Linked DNA regions of Bombyx mori. The protein of the gene in region 1 binds, or shares a complex with, the protein of each later gene. Links are inferred from orthologs where the notes say so. Each region holds a gene or a part of one and is shown on either strand. Other genes may lie near its edges. The genes, in order: peregrin and chromatin modification-related protein MEAF6.

What was found.
Region 2: peregrin (region 1) and chromatin modification-related protein MEAF6 share a complex: the UniProt entries of both Drosophila melanogaster proteins name them as parts of the enok complex. The link is inferred for Bombyx mori from reciprocal best matches to the Drosophila melanogaster genes Br140 and Eaf6.

The regions. Positions count from the first base shown.
Region 1 is NC_085122.1:5,168,194-5,175,065, reverse strand, and holds part of peregrin, read left to right. Parts: intron 1-346; coding exon 347-566; intron 567-1,295; coding exon 1,296-1,392; intron 1,393-1,979; coding exon 1,980-2,157; intron 2,158-2,919; coding exon 2,920-3,083; intron 3,084-5,463; coding exon 5,464-5,594; intron 5,595-6,872. UniProt on the Drosophila melanogaster protein: Scaffold subunit of the histone acetyltransferase (HAT) Enok complex which has histone H3 acetyltransferase activity.
Region 2 is NC_085128.1:6,602,252-6,609,797, forward strand, and holds chromatin modification-related protein MEAF6, read left to right. Parts: upstream 1-3,695; 5' UTR 3,696-3,893; coding exon 3,894-4,034; intron 4,035-4,100; coding exon 4,101-4,304; intron 4,305-4,383; coding exon 4,384-4,420; intron 4,421-4,497; coding exon 4,498-4,940; 3' UTR 4,941-5,870; coding exon of another isoform or gene 5,871-5,920; 3' UTR 5,921-6,004; coding exon of another isoform or gene 6,005-6,176; 3' UTR 6,177-6,734; downstream 6,735-7,546. Other genes in the region: osteopetrosis-associated transmembrane protein 1, read right to left, coding at 5,871-5,920, 6,005-6,176, 6,735-6,967, 7,249-7,546. UniProt on the Drosophila melanogaster protein: Component of the Enok complex which has a histone H3 acetyltransferase activity. Might be involved in transcriptional activation of selected genes.

The DNA.
Region 1 (6,872 bases):
ACCATTTGAATTGTATTTGCTTATTTTGCTTTTGCTTTGCTTGTATTGCTTGTATTGCTGCTTTTGCTTGTATTGCTTAGATGGGTGGACGAGCTCACAGCCCACCTGGTGTTAAGTGGTTACTGGAGCCCATAGACATCTACAACGTAAAATGCGCCACCAACCTTGAGATATAAGCTCTAAGGTCGCAGTATACTTGCAATGGCTGCCCCACCCTTCAAACCGAAACGCAATACTGCTCCAATAGAAATTCAGTAGAAATAGGCAGGGTGGTGGTACCTACCCGTGCGGACTCACAAGAGGTCCTACCATCAGTAAAAACTAATGTTTATAATTTTAACCGTAGGCACGTCGCGTGTTAGCAATGAAACGAACTTGGGCCCCGGTCGTGTTAGTACCGACTTTGCCGGCCGAGCGCGTGGCGGACGTGGCCCAGTTGGCCCAGGGTCCGCCCGCCGCCAGGGCCCAGCTCATGAAGCGACTCCTCGCTTACTGGACCCTGAAACGGCACAGCAGGAACGGTGTGCCGCTGTTGAGGAGACTGCAGAGCTTGACGACCAATCATGGTGAGTTTTCATATATTTATATATGTACTAGCTTTTACCCGCGACTTTGTCCGCGTGGAATAGCTCACAAATAATGCTTTATTTTAGAACAAATTTGGTTAGCATAAAAAACATTTTAGTCAGCCAACCTTAACATATAGACATAGGTATGCTATGGCGGACTTTTTTTAGACCTTTTTAAGGGGAACAATTCTGTCATACATTATTTTAGCAAAACTTTAACCTTTTCTGCAGCGCACGCGGCGGATACTTTCAAAAGGGAAAAAAACCCGATTTTGAAATATTCTTTATTGGTGCTCCGCTTGTATTGGTCTTAGCATGATGGTATATAGTCTATAGCCGTCCTCGATAAATGGGCTATCTAACACTGAAAGAATTTTTCAAATCGGACCAATAGTTCCTGAGATTAGCGCGTTCAAACAAACAAACTCTTCAGCTTTATAATATTAGTATAGACCAGCTAAACCACTTTACGCTTCGCTGTGGCTAGCTATGGATCTCTCAAGACTACTCTCGCGTTAGTTATAGTACCTTGAGACAATTGCAAAATTTTTCATCACAATCTTATGCTTTTGCAACCCAAAAAAGATAAACAAACCAATAAGATCAATAAACCTATGATCAATAAACCTATAAATACTTATATAGATTTATACCACGTTGTATTTCTTCAGTTTTTGAACCAATATGACTAGCCTATTTTTTTTTAAATTCTATTATTATTTACAGGCAGTAGAGGCATACAAGACGCAGCTGTCAATGTACGAGAGCTGTGTAATCAGTTGAAGTATTGGCAGAGAATACGACAAGATTTGGAACGCGCAAGGTGATTTTTAAGGGTTTTATTTTAACTTTTATTGGTTACATACATTTTCGAGAGCTTGACAATAATAATAATAAAAAAAAAATAACTAATTCAAATTATTTGAAGCGTTCGTATCGATTGATTCAAACATGACGGGACTAAAAATTTTTAATTAAGCAATAACAGCGTGGAATAAAAACCAAATCCGCCACGTCTGTTTTTGTGTGGTAGTGGTACCACTATTTCGTTGATTTTTATCGTGACACACCTATGCGTTCCGGATCGAATGGAGGCTGCGTTAACGTCTGAAATTCGGTTAACATCTCCATAATTGAAAACCAATAAACGGATGCAATCATTATAAAGATAAAAGATAAATTTAATATTCCCACAGAGGTATCATCAAAATCAATTCACCCAGTCAAAAGTTATGAGATAACAAACATAAAATAAAAAAAAACGTACAGTCAAATTGAGAACCTCCTTCTTTTTTGAAGTCGGCTAAAAATAAAACAAATCACACAATTTCACTCCTCGCGTTCCCGCCAAAAGTCCTTAGATAGATTGTCTATGTAACAGTAACATAGAGTCGGTAATGTTTTGCATAGATTGCTGTGTGAGCTGGTACGTAAACGCGAGCGTCTGAAGGCGGAGTACACCCGCGTGTGGGAGCGCTGCTTCCTTCACTCGCTGCGACCCGAGCGGGCCGTGCTCCACAAGCTGCTGCGCTTGTTGCGCCAGAAGGACTCCAGCGATATATTCACGGAGCCGGTCGACTTGCAAGAGGTAACTTGTGCCTGGGTCTTTTTTTATTTTTTTTTATTGCCCTAGTAGGCAGACGGGCAAACGGCCCACCTGATGTTGAGTGGTTACCGTCGCCCATGGACTTCAGCAATGCCAGGGCCAGAGCCAAGCCGCTGCCTACCGGTTCGTCGTGATAAGGCTATCAGGGCACGCCCATATATATATTCCTTCGAAATGTTGACCCTTGGAATTTTTTAGAAAATAGGGTACAAAGTTAATAAGAGCATACCGATTTTGAATTTTGTATACGCACTAAGAATTTGCGTTCAAGCCATTATTATCGTTTTATTAATTTTATTTGCATTACATTGATTCGCACATATGTCGAGGTTGCCCTGAATTGATAGTTCAAGTTATGTAGTATAGTATAGAAAAAAGAAATTTAGAAAATATATATATAGAAAATATATAAAGACAAGGGTTAAGTACTATTTTAGTTAAGTTATTTATTTCTTAAGTGGGTGGACAAGCTCATAGCTCACCTGGTGTTAATTGGTTACTGGAGCCCATAGACATCTACGACGTAAATGCGCCACCCACCTTGAGATATAAGTTCTAAGGTCTCAAGTATAGGAGAAGGAGGAGGAAATTCTTACTGGTGGTAGGACAGTGTCTTCATATAAGTATTAATGTAACAGAATTTCATAAAAGAAAGTTTTTTTTTTTTAAATAAAATACCCTAAATGAGTTGTTTAACGAATATGCGTCTTAAACTGAGTTAACATAAAGATCGTTTTTGCATAGGTACCAGACTACAGTACAATAGTGAAACACCCCATGGACCTGAGCACGATGGAGAAGAAGCTGGACCGCGGCGCTTACAAGAACATTGATGACATCGAAGACGACTTCAAACTGATGATAGACAATTGTCTCGCGTATAACAATAAAGATACAGTGTTTTACAAGTGAGCCGCTATACTAACCAGATATGCTAAACTGACTTTTTTTATTGCTTAGATGGGTGGATGAGCTCACAGCCCTCCTGATGTTAAGTGGTTACTGGAGCCCATAGGCGTCTACAACATAAATGCGCCACCCACCTTGAGATGTAAGTCCTAAAGGTCTTAAGTATAGTTACAACGGCTGCCCCACCCTTCAAACCTGGTGGTACCTACCCGCGCAGACTCACAAGAGGTCCTACCACCAGTAATTACGCAAATTATAATTTTGCGGGTTTGATTTTTATAACGCGATGTTATTCCTTCACCGTGGAAGTCAATCGTGAACATTTGTTGAGAACGTATTTCATTAGAAAAATTGGTATCCGCCTGGGAATCGAACACCAGTGCATCGCTCAACGACGAATTTAACGGCCGTCTGGTGTAGTGGTAAGTGACATGGTCACTACACAAGGGGGTCGCGGGTTCGAATCCCGCCAAGGGAAGATATTTGTATGATAAATATAAATGTCTTTTCCAGGGTTATGGATGTATATTAAATATATGTACATATGTGTATAATAAAAATCTTACATTTATTTCCGTTATCTGGTACCTGTAACACAAGTCTTTACGAACTTATCACGGGGCCGGTTAACGTGGCGTGATTGTTAGTAAATATTTATTTATTTATTATTTATTTATTAAAAAAGAATGCAACGGACGTCTTATCCTATAGGCCACTACGACTTCAAACGACTTTGACTTTAACGATTATAGTAAATTCGCGTCGTATAAACTGGATTAGATTTTTAAAAAACCATGATGGTAGTGCTCCGAAGAGTATTCATGCAATTTTAGTGACACAGGCCTCAAGCGTTGGAAATCGAATTATAAAAAAATGTGTCACGTGATTCATAAAGAAATTTTAAACTGCTCTAAATAGTAGATGACTAACTTGGGGCAATTTACAATTATCCTACTAATATTATAAACGTGCAAGTTTGTAAGAATGTATGGATGTATCTTTGTTACTCGTTCACGCAAAAACTACTGAATGGATTTTGAGGAAACCATACAATAATATAACTTACACACCAGAATAACACACAGGTTATAATTTATAAAGATATAGTGTGAATTACCCAAAAAAATAACGATAAGTGTCAGTAAGTAGGAAAAAAAAATCAGCCATTTGCGAACTATTCTGGTGTGCGCCGCAAAAACCGTTGGAGTTAGATGTATACTATGGAAATGTTTATCTTAAATAGTTCTACAAAAAGCTCGCGACAGCATATATCTATATTTTATGTATAAGCCATCATCGCCAAAATAGTGAACTGTAAATGCAATAAAAATTGAAGATCGATGTCATGTACTGTGTAAACCAGGGGCTCCCAAACTTATTTTGTCTACTGCCCACTTTGAGAATAAATTATTTTTTTAGCGCCTCCATTTTTTCAAATATATAAATATAAAATAACAAGTAGCTTTCCAAGCCTCTAAACAACGCCCCCATTTTTTTGGGTCTCTTACCGCCCCCCCTTAGGCCTGCGGCGCCCACAAGGGGGCTGTTAACGAATCAACGTCGCGTCATACATTGATGGCTGCTATGCGTCATGATAATCGCCTTATCGTTGCCGCCGCTGACTACTCCCCGAATCCTGATCATGCAGGAGCCAGTCACCGTCGACGCCCTAGACACGTCCTTACGGATCCATCAGATCCAATAACCTTTGCATTAGATGCCTTCAGCTCTAATACTAGGGGCAGGCTTAGGGACCCCGGTAACCGTACTCGTCGAACTCGACAAAGAGGTCGACGTGCAACCTAACCCATGCATCAGCCCGCTGAGTTTCTCGCCGGATCTTCTCAGCGGGTCGCGATTCCGATCCGGTAGTAGATTCATTCGCGAAACAATTGCTCTTGAGTTGTTAGGTCTCCTTCGGAGGCGCTCGGGCAGTTGTTAGCAAATCCCACCCCTCTTGGCTGAGCCTTTGCTCGCCCACCTGTCCTGGTGAAACTGGAAAGGCCTTCGGGCCACCAGTAAACTTTCAATCATAAAAAAAAAAAAAAAAACATTGATGGCTGTGATTGGCTAACGATGACGTCATATCGCACGAACCAATCACAAATCAGGAAACGCAATAGAGGCACCAATTGTCAAAATTAAAAAAAAAAATACACGAAGAAAAAAGATGGACGCGCATGTCAATTCTATTTTGTAAAATAATTAAAAATAATATAATGAGTATTTGAAGAAGTTAAACGCATTTATTCATTTTCTTGGCCACCTCAAGAGACCTCTTAAGAAATAGACGCAACAGGGGCGTTATCGCCCACTTTGGGAAAGACTGGTTGGTGTAAACGGATAGTAATTTTAAAACGATCGCGCTTTTGTTTCCAGGGCCGGTGTGAAGATGCGCGAGCAATGCGCGCCGGTATTCCGTCAGGCGCGCCGCGACGTGGCGGCCGCGGGACTCCGCCACCTCGCCGCGCGGTCCCGCGCCGCCAGCACCGACAGCGATCGTACTCTAGGTAACGAAACGTAAAAATCTTTATCGATATTCTTATTGTTATTACTAAGAATATTTTCCATTTTACTAACGTGGTGCACATCACAAGGAAGCACGATCAAGTATGAGTAGGGTTGTCAGTAAATTAAAAAATATGTAAAAATAAGTAATTGACTTCGAAATCTTTTTTTTTCCTACCTAAGCTGATAGCCTTGAGAGGCTATTTCAGCGTAACCCTAACAAGTAGGTGAGCTGACTGGGCTCAAACCTGACATCGTTGCTAACACTAACCCTAGCAGGAGCAGTGCTTCGCAAAATCTACCATCGGATCGGAAACGCGACCCACTGAGAAGATCCACCGAGAAACTCAGTGGGCTGTGTCTGTGGGTTAATTTACTCGCCGAGCCCTTCGTCGCAAGCGAAGGGCTTGACGAGAATGATGACCGGTACTTGAGGTACCTAAAAGCATCGTTAGTGGATCGAAAGGATCCGAAATGACGTGTTTCGGGCGACATCGACTGTTTACCATTCGGTCCGCAGGATCAGGAATGTAGCTACCGGCGGGCGGCGGCCATAATGGGAGGGTTCTCGTGTCGTGCCGCTTTTCTGAAAGGGCACACTGATGCCGACTGTAGATACTTACTGATGGACTCTAGGCCCATGTCATCGTGGAGGTCCACGTTTCTGATGAACCACATGGCTCCGGTGGCTATCCTGCAAAAACGGGATTGTATGATTTGGAGGGGTTTCAAGTTAGTGCGGGCCGCGTGAGTGAACACTACACTTGCATAGGTCTTGACGGGGCGTATGCAAGTTTTGTAGTGTCACCTTATTACGAAGAGACAATTTACTTCGCTTGCAAATCATCGGACATATACATCAGTCATTATTAAAAAAAACCAGTGCAACAAGTTGCACGCGAATTAAGTGAAACTTCTTTTTCGATCTGTAGTATTGCGGCTTTCTTCATTTTTCATCCTTAAATCAGATTGCTCTTGTAATAGGGTATGCTGTGTATAAGAGATGCGACATCTTCAACATTCATAAATAAATATATAAATATTTTTTTAAATACTTCATTAAAATATTGGACGCTACTCGTTGCTAACGCTCGCACTGGCCTGTAACAGATATACTACGCGCATGCGTTCGAGTGCCACGTATTCACTCTCGCTCTGTCTCTTTCTAGTATGGTAGCGTTAAACGTTTAACGCAACCTTGTTGGAAGTCACATTAGAAGTTTCACTTCAAATACAATCTATCTGGTGACATTTTCAAGGTGTAGGGTCTGTAAATATTT
Region 2 (7,546 bases), on another chromosome or scaffold:
TTTCAATTTAAATTATGTTTTATTAAAAATTATTCTTAACATACAGGTACAAAGGTTACATAACATTAATATTTATTCCTTTTCATATTTAAAAGCCCATATTTAGCACATTTGTGGAAAACAGAATCAAAATAATAATGAGTTGCTAGCCATAGAAGACCAGCATAAAAGTCTTATTAAAATCTGTTCAGTAATTTTTGAATGAAGAGTGAAAATACTTACAAAACTTCCTATTTATAAGTAAGGATTACTTATTTAATTAAAGAGTTTTGTAGGTGGCAAACTATCTAAAAACTTTCTATTTTCCACCAAGTTGACATCAATTATCCTTCCTGCATATATATTTATTGTATTGTTTTTTTTATAGTCTAACAAGGGGTGATATTACATTTGCAATTTCTGGGAGTTTGTTGAAAAATATATTGCTTGCTTGACTTACAGATAAATCGAAATCATCAGCCAATTGAGAGAATGTTCTATTTAATGTTATTCTCATCAGACATAATATAATATTTTGTTCAGAAACATTTGTATGTTTCTCAATCAAGCCTATTATGAAACATAATTCTTGTGGAAGACCAATATATAAACGTTGTTTATTTTTCACTTTAGATAAAGTTGTTAACACATTCATTTTTTCAACTTTTTAGTCTTCTTGAGAGCTATAGTCTGAAGTGCACAAGTCTTTGATGGAGTGGAGATATAGAGAGATAACTCATAGTCAACAGTTGATCCTTCTGTTGCTGGTGCATTTGACTCATCACTGTCAAATTTGTCCTCAGGAACAACAGTTTTTTTTTTGCTGGTTCTGATTGTTTACTTATACTTGCTTCAGATATATTAAGGGGTGATGTGGCAATACACACTTGCCTTGCCTTTGTGTTCCTGTGCTGGAGCTACTTGGATAGCTTTGTCATTACTACACCTATTTTCAAGTGGCTGGACATCTGGAAATATGAAATAATGTTAGCAATTTCCAACAAACGTATAGTTTGTAAATATATAGGATTATATGTGTACTGTCGTAGTAGTAGTAGTAGTATTTAACTTCCTAGTCATCATCATCAGCCCATATAATATATCCCCTTGCTGGACACTGGCCTTCACTACCATTGAGAGGGTTTTTAGGCCTTAGTCCACCACGCTGGCCTAGTGCTGGTTGGTGGATTACACACCTAAGAAAATCCTAAGAACATTTAGGTGTGCAGGTTTCATCACAATGTTTTCCTTCACTGTTAAAGTAAGTAAGTGATATTACACTGTGATAAATTTTCATTTTCACAAACTTCCTAGTACCTTATGTAATAGGAACTGAGATCCACTTGCCCATTTTGGCTACTTCCACTAACTAACTAACTATTCTCATTTTTTCTGATATTGTTATTTGATTAGGAGATCTGTGAGTGTAACTAATTATTGACAGTTACACCTACCTTGACTACAAGATGGCAAAGGTATAATAATACGACACATCTCATTTTTAGTCGTCTCTTCAATTTCCTTGATAATAGTGAGTCTTTGCCGTTTCACAAATGCAGGCCGAGGTTCACTATGATTGAATTTTCGTTTTCTATCTGCCCGACAATCGAATTTGGATGGTAAACAGTTTGGTTTCATTCGAATTCATTTGATGGAGCTCATTATCTTGTATTGCATATAATTCTCCATGTAGTTTTCCAGCTAAAACATGAAATAATTTTCCAACAATTTCAATACATAACCTATAAAAAAAATATTAAAATGTTATTTTACTAATGTTAGGAATATAATTTCGACTGTGTCAAAATGTTATTATAATGTATACCTACATTATCTCTTGAAAGATAAATAATGAACATATTTACTTATTTGTTTATATTACCTATGTGAACTCTTAACCTATCTTTTTTATACCTTCATAGCGATAGGTATATAGGAGGATGGAAAAAATGTATTTGGTCTAACTTTACGCGAATGCACATTATTTTATTTATTTTGTTTTTAATTTTTTTAATTAAACTGTATACCAATTAATTGATCCTTCAGGATTTATAATTGTTTTTTTTTCACGATTAAAACCGCGTAGAAAGTTTAGGCATTATAGTCACTGAGCAAGTAATCACTACGTTGACGCATGCGCCATAGATTATACACTTATGGCATGCGCAGTACACATATTTTGTATACATTTATTCAACTAATACAATTAATTAAACAAAAAATGAGTAATTTCGAAAGAGAACAAACGTATTTTATATAAGAACAATCGAAAATGAATATTTACGAGTAATTAAGGACGAAAAAATATTAAAAATTGCAATCGAGGGGCTAACTTTTAGATATATTTTTAATAATTTTTTTTAAATAAATAAATGGGGAACAAACAATTATTGACAATGAACAATCAAGAACAAATGATGAACAAACGAATTAATAGAAAATAAGTAGAAAACAGGAAAAAAAAATTTTTTTGAGGGGCTAACTTCATTCACCTCCATGGAGTACTTATTATATATCTACTTTTTTTTTATTTTATGACCTGGTAACAGAGACCTTTAGGTCATATCTTATTTGAAAAATGTGCATTACTTTGGGGTCACTACACTTCACTTCAATAAATTTTGTCATTTACATTATTTGAATTATATTTTTCATATAATTATAAATAGGTTTATCGGATGTTGGATCTTTTAGTAAAAAGTGGCGGCGGGCGAGAGGAAGAAACACATTTAATGCATTGGTATCCTCACTAGCCAGCACAAGTCTGAAATATGAAACTTTGGCAATCGAAAATAATGTGATGGATCGTCCCTTCCTTTGCTTGACAGTGTAAACATTGGTTGTTTGAAACAATGCCAAGTCCTGCTAGGTGTGACGGCGCAGTATTATGGCCAAAACTCAATCTGTTTATTGTTGTAATGAAATCTCGACTCTCACTAGTTTTCAATTTGTCATTCTTTTTGTATGGCAATTAACTTTATACGAAGCCTTTGTTTACAGTCTCGAAGTATTAAAAATCTTCAATCATTACATACTCTCATATAGATTCTGAAATTTGAAAAATGAAATGAAGCGAAATTAGATGAAGTTGATTTCTTTTAGACTTTAACCAATTGGGATGAAATCAAATGAAACCGGATGAAATAAAGTCACGGTAAAATGGAGGTTATTTACCGAGACTTTGTGAATTTTCTGGAAGAACCGAGAAGCTACGTTCAGCGGCTTTGTTTCATTTTTCCACATCTATGCACTTTCACAGATATTAAACAATTAATAAACCACCGTTATTACATATTTAAACCCAAAGAAACACTAAATAGACAAAATAAAACAAATCACACAACTTCACTTCCCGCCAAAAAGACGTTTAAGTAATACCGTACTTGTGTGCCTTTACACAGATATTTTTTCTCTTAGTTTTATCCTCGAAAAAGTCCACTAAAAAATCTCAGTGAACGACCACCATTTTACTGAGATTATATTTCATCCCATATCATCTCATCTCATTTCATTTAATTTCATCCCAGTTAATTAATGTCTCAAATCAATCAACTCCATTTTATTTTATTTCACTCCATATTATCATTTTTCATAAAAATAAGAATATAAATTAAAATAAGACATGATCTTAAGGTCTGAGTTACCAGGTCAGAAAATCCCATAAAAAAATTGAGTATACAAATTACAATAATCTGTGGAAGACAAGGCTTTATGTGCTTAGATCCCTTGCCTTTCTTAAAAGGAAAAATTGATTAAAATTGTATCAAAAAAATCTGTGGAATTTAAGGCAACAATTGCTAGAATAATAATTTGCGTTTTTGGAAATAAGTGGCACATTTCTGTTCAGAAAAAATACGCCTGTCTTAAGTGATCTGTTATGGAATTATAAAACACAAGTAACAACAATCATCAGCATGGTTATTTCACCACAAAGCCCCATTGATGACGCTCAAAGTGTGCAAACCAAAAGAACCAACATGGCTACTAAACAATCTTCAGTAGCCGATACTAGAGCTGAACTAGCTGAATTGGTCAAACGGAAAGCTGAAGTAGCTGTAAGTAGACATAATGACAGTCCTTTTGAGCATTTAATCTACCCTTCCTAATGAAAATGTTTACAGGAAACTTTAGCGAACTTGGAACGTCAGATTTATGCATTTGAGGGATCATATCTGGAAGATACTCAATTGTATGGAAATATAATTAGAGGATGGGATAGATACCTCACAACGAACAAAAGCACTAATTCCAAAGCTGACAAACGTAACAGAAAGTTCAAAGAAGCAGAAAGATTGTTTTCTAAATCTAGTATTACGTCTATGGCTGTAAGTTAATCTTTAAGTGAATTATTCTGTTTTATAACGTCTTAAAATACGATAACATAAATCCATTAAATTATTTCAGGCTGTTAGTGGACTTGTAGATGCTGCTGAAGCTAAAAGTAAGGATATTGAAACTGAAAATAATCAACTCACGACCGAAATATATTTTATTTTTTATAACAATTCCTTATTTCAGATGAAAGAAATAGTGAAACTGAATCGCAAACTAATGAAGACTCTTCAGACACACAGATTAGTTCAAATCTCAATCTTGGAGGTCTTAACCATACGACAATTCATGGTTCCACTGAAAGCATTGCTTCTAAGCCATCTGGGAAACAAAATACTAATGGAACATTAGATAAAACATTAACTAGTGCTCAAACAAAACAAACAGCTACACAAAAAATAGCTACTGCATCTGGCATGCTCCAGAAGGCATTTAGTAGTGAAAGTAAAATATTATCAGGAATGGGACTTGATAGTCGACCTGGCACACCAAAAGAAAAGGAATCTAATGTAAACATTATTAATAAAGTTGATTTAACACCAAACTCACTAAAACACAAAATGTCTAGTAGCGGAAGCAGTAGTAGCGGCAGCATCAAAAAGAACAACAAGAAAGCTAGGCACAGGTGAACATTATGCACTCTATCATGTTAATGGCAGATTTTAGTAGGTGCTAGTCTGAAGATTTATGCTGGGTGTAAGGAAACCATTCCCATACTGAAATATTAATATGATACAAATACAGTACATACATAAACATAGTGCAGATATTTAAACTTAATGCGAACAGTATATTGACTCTTCAAAAGCAAACGTGACTAAGCGACAATAACTGCTTTATACTTAAATGATAGGCAATAACCATATTCAATGCGCAAAAAAAAAATTACTTCTAGGTCTATTATAATCATTTCAATCATACAGCTAGATTTGTTAAAATATATTTTTTTTCAGGTATTTCAACTTTAAATTAGTCTACTGTAAAGTTCATGCATTGTCGCTTAGTCACGTTTGCCTTTCAAGTGTTGATATATTCTAATTCTGCATTAAAAATTCGAAAAAAACATAACTTTACCATTTGTCCCATATATCATTATTAAGTTATATATTATAAATGAGTCGTCTATTATCAAAGGCGGCAATCTGTACATTTGGACAAAATTTTTTTATTGATATGTCAATACAGATTTATTTGAATATAATCGTCTCCTTCAAAGAATACGGTTCAAAACCTGCATTAAATAAAGGTTAATAGTTAACCTGTTATTTATCTAAGATGTCGTTCCGAAGAGTTTTGTGACTGCCAATGGAATACAAAGTCAATAATTCGTTTTTCTGATTTACCAATCATTGTCCAAAAGTCAGATTGCCGCCTTTGATAATAGTCGACTCAAATGTCATTTAATGTTACTAAGAGCAATGTTGTAAAGTGTAATTTAATGTTTTTTGTAATAGTTCTCAACACTCCTTGTAGCAATGAAACAATATGTATTCTTTTTAACTAATGTTATTGTATAAAAATAAATAATGAATTGTTGATTTACATAAAAATATTGTGACCTAATTGATACCATTAACTGTTCTTAATATCCTTTGTTTGAATCTTGATTCTGAAATTATGTTTTGTTTGTATTAGTAAAATTATACCAAACAGGACATGATAAATAGATATTAAATGAGAAACTGATACATACGCTTTAAAATATTAGGTAAGTCCTTAATTGGTCCACAATATTTCACCATAATATAATACAAAACTGGTAAGCATGCAATAATTCCAGAACAACACAAAAATATTATTTCTGGAGACTTTCTCAATTTACAACAGTTTAGGCTTTTGCTCCATATTGATCTAGTTGCATTCATCTGAAATGATAAGGTAAATCATTATATTTTTAGTTTATTTTTTTGAAGTTGAGTCTTTATATGAGAAATCTCAGTATTCTCTATCAAATCTAATATTTTATTGCATAAATGTGTTAGCAAGCTCGTATTATAACCAGTAACAATAGATATCACAATGTGCACGCTGGCACCTGGCAAATGTGAGGCTTTTGTATTGTGATTGTATGATATAATTATTGTCCTATCCTTCCAAAACACAACACATTACTGCTCCTTGCCAGAAACAGGCACGGTGCTTGTAGTAGGCACTGTAGGTTTTGCATGTTCCCAAAAACTTTACCACTATTTATATTTCTTATTACTATTACTCCATCATAAAAAATGGAAATTGGCCTTTGATGTCAACTATGGCATAGTTTGTTGCATTCATGTGAGTAAATTGGCTGACAATAATTGGTGTTCATTATGACTTATATTTTATGTAAGAAAAAATATTATGCATTATAGACATCTATTTGCATTTGCAAGTAAATTAAAAGAATTACTTGATTACTTCATTGTTACAATTAGTGTACTTACAGAATCAATAACATCCATGCATATAATATCCAGCCCTATTCTGTCAAAACTAAGAGATTCATAATAGTTATTCAGCTGTATGTAGCTCTGCATACAGTTCTCACACACTTTTGTACTATTCTCTTTGGGATTTATATTGTCTTCAATACATTGCATTGTTTCATTAAAAATTTGATAAAAATGGTAAGTTTTATTTGAAATTTCTGGTTTATCTTTAGTCCAGTTAAAACAATCTAAAATGATAAAATAAACATAAACAGACATGTATCTCATGCATTGCATTTAAGGAACCTTACTAGATAGCTCTCACTCTACTTTTATTCAGATACTTATAAAAGAAATAAAAAACAAAAGCATTAAAAGTTTTCACCGGGTAACATAAAATAAGGAAATGTATTTACAAAAAAAAATTGGAAAATCTTTACGTTGGCACAAACAAAATAGTGTCAACCATCTCCACAAGAATGACTTGCTTGAACTTGCAAGTTTTTTAATATACAGAATATATACGTACCATTACAATTTCCTTTGTTCCAAATAGCTAATATGTTATCATGATAATTCAAAACCACCTCTAATCTATCATGAGAAATAAAGATGGTTTCACATGAAGTTCCATTTAAATTGGTTTGAAGTAAATTTTTATAGCTCTCACGAAATTTTACATAATGATCAATACATTTTTCACATAGTCTTATCGGTCTCGCATGTTTGATTGAGCATTTTGTAAAATTAGATGCAGAATCCGCAAATTCATCAAGTAATTTCGTACAAATACTAGGATTCGCAAACAAATACCCCTCACCATTGTA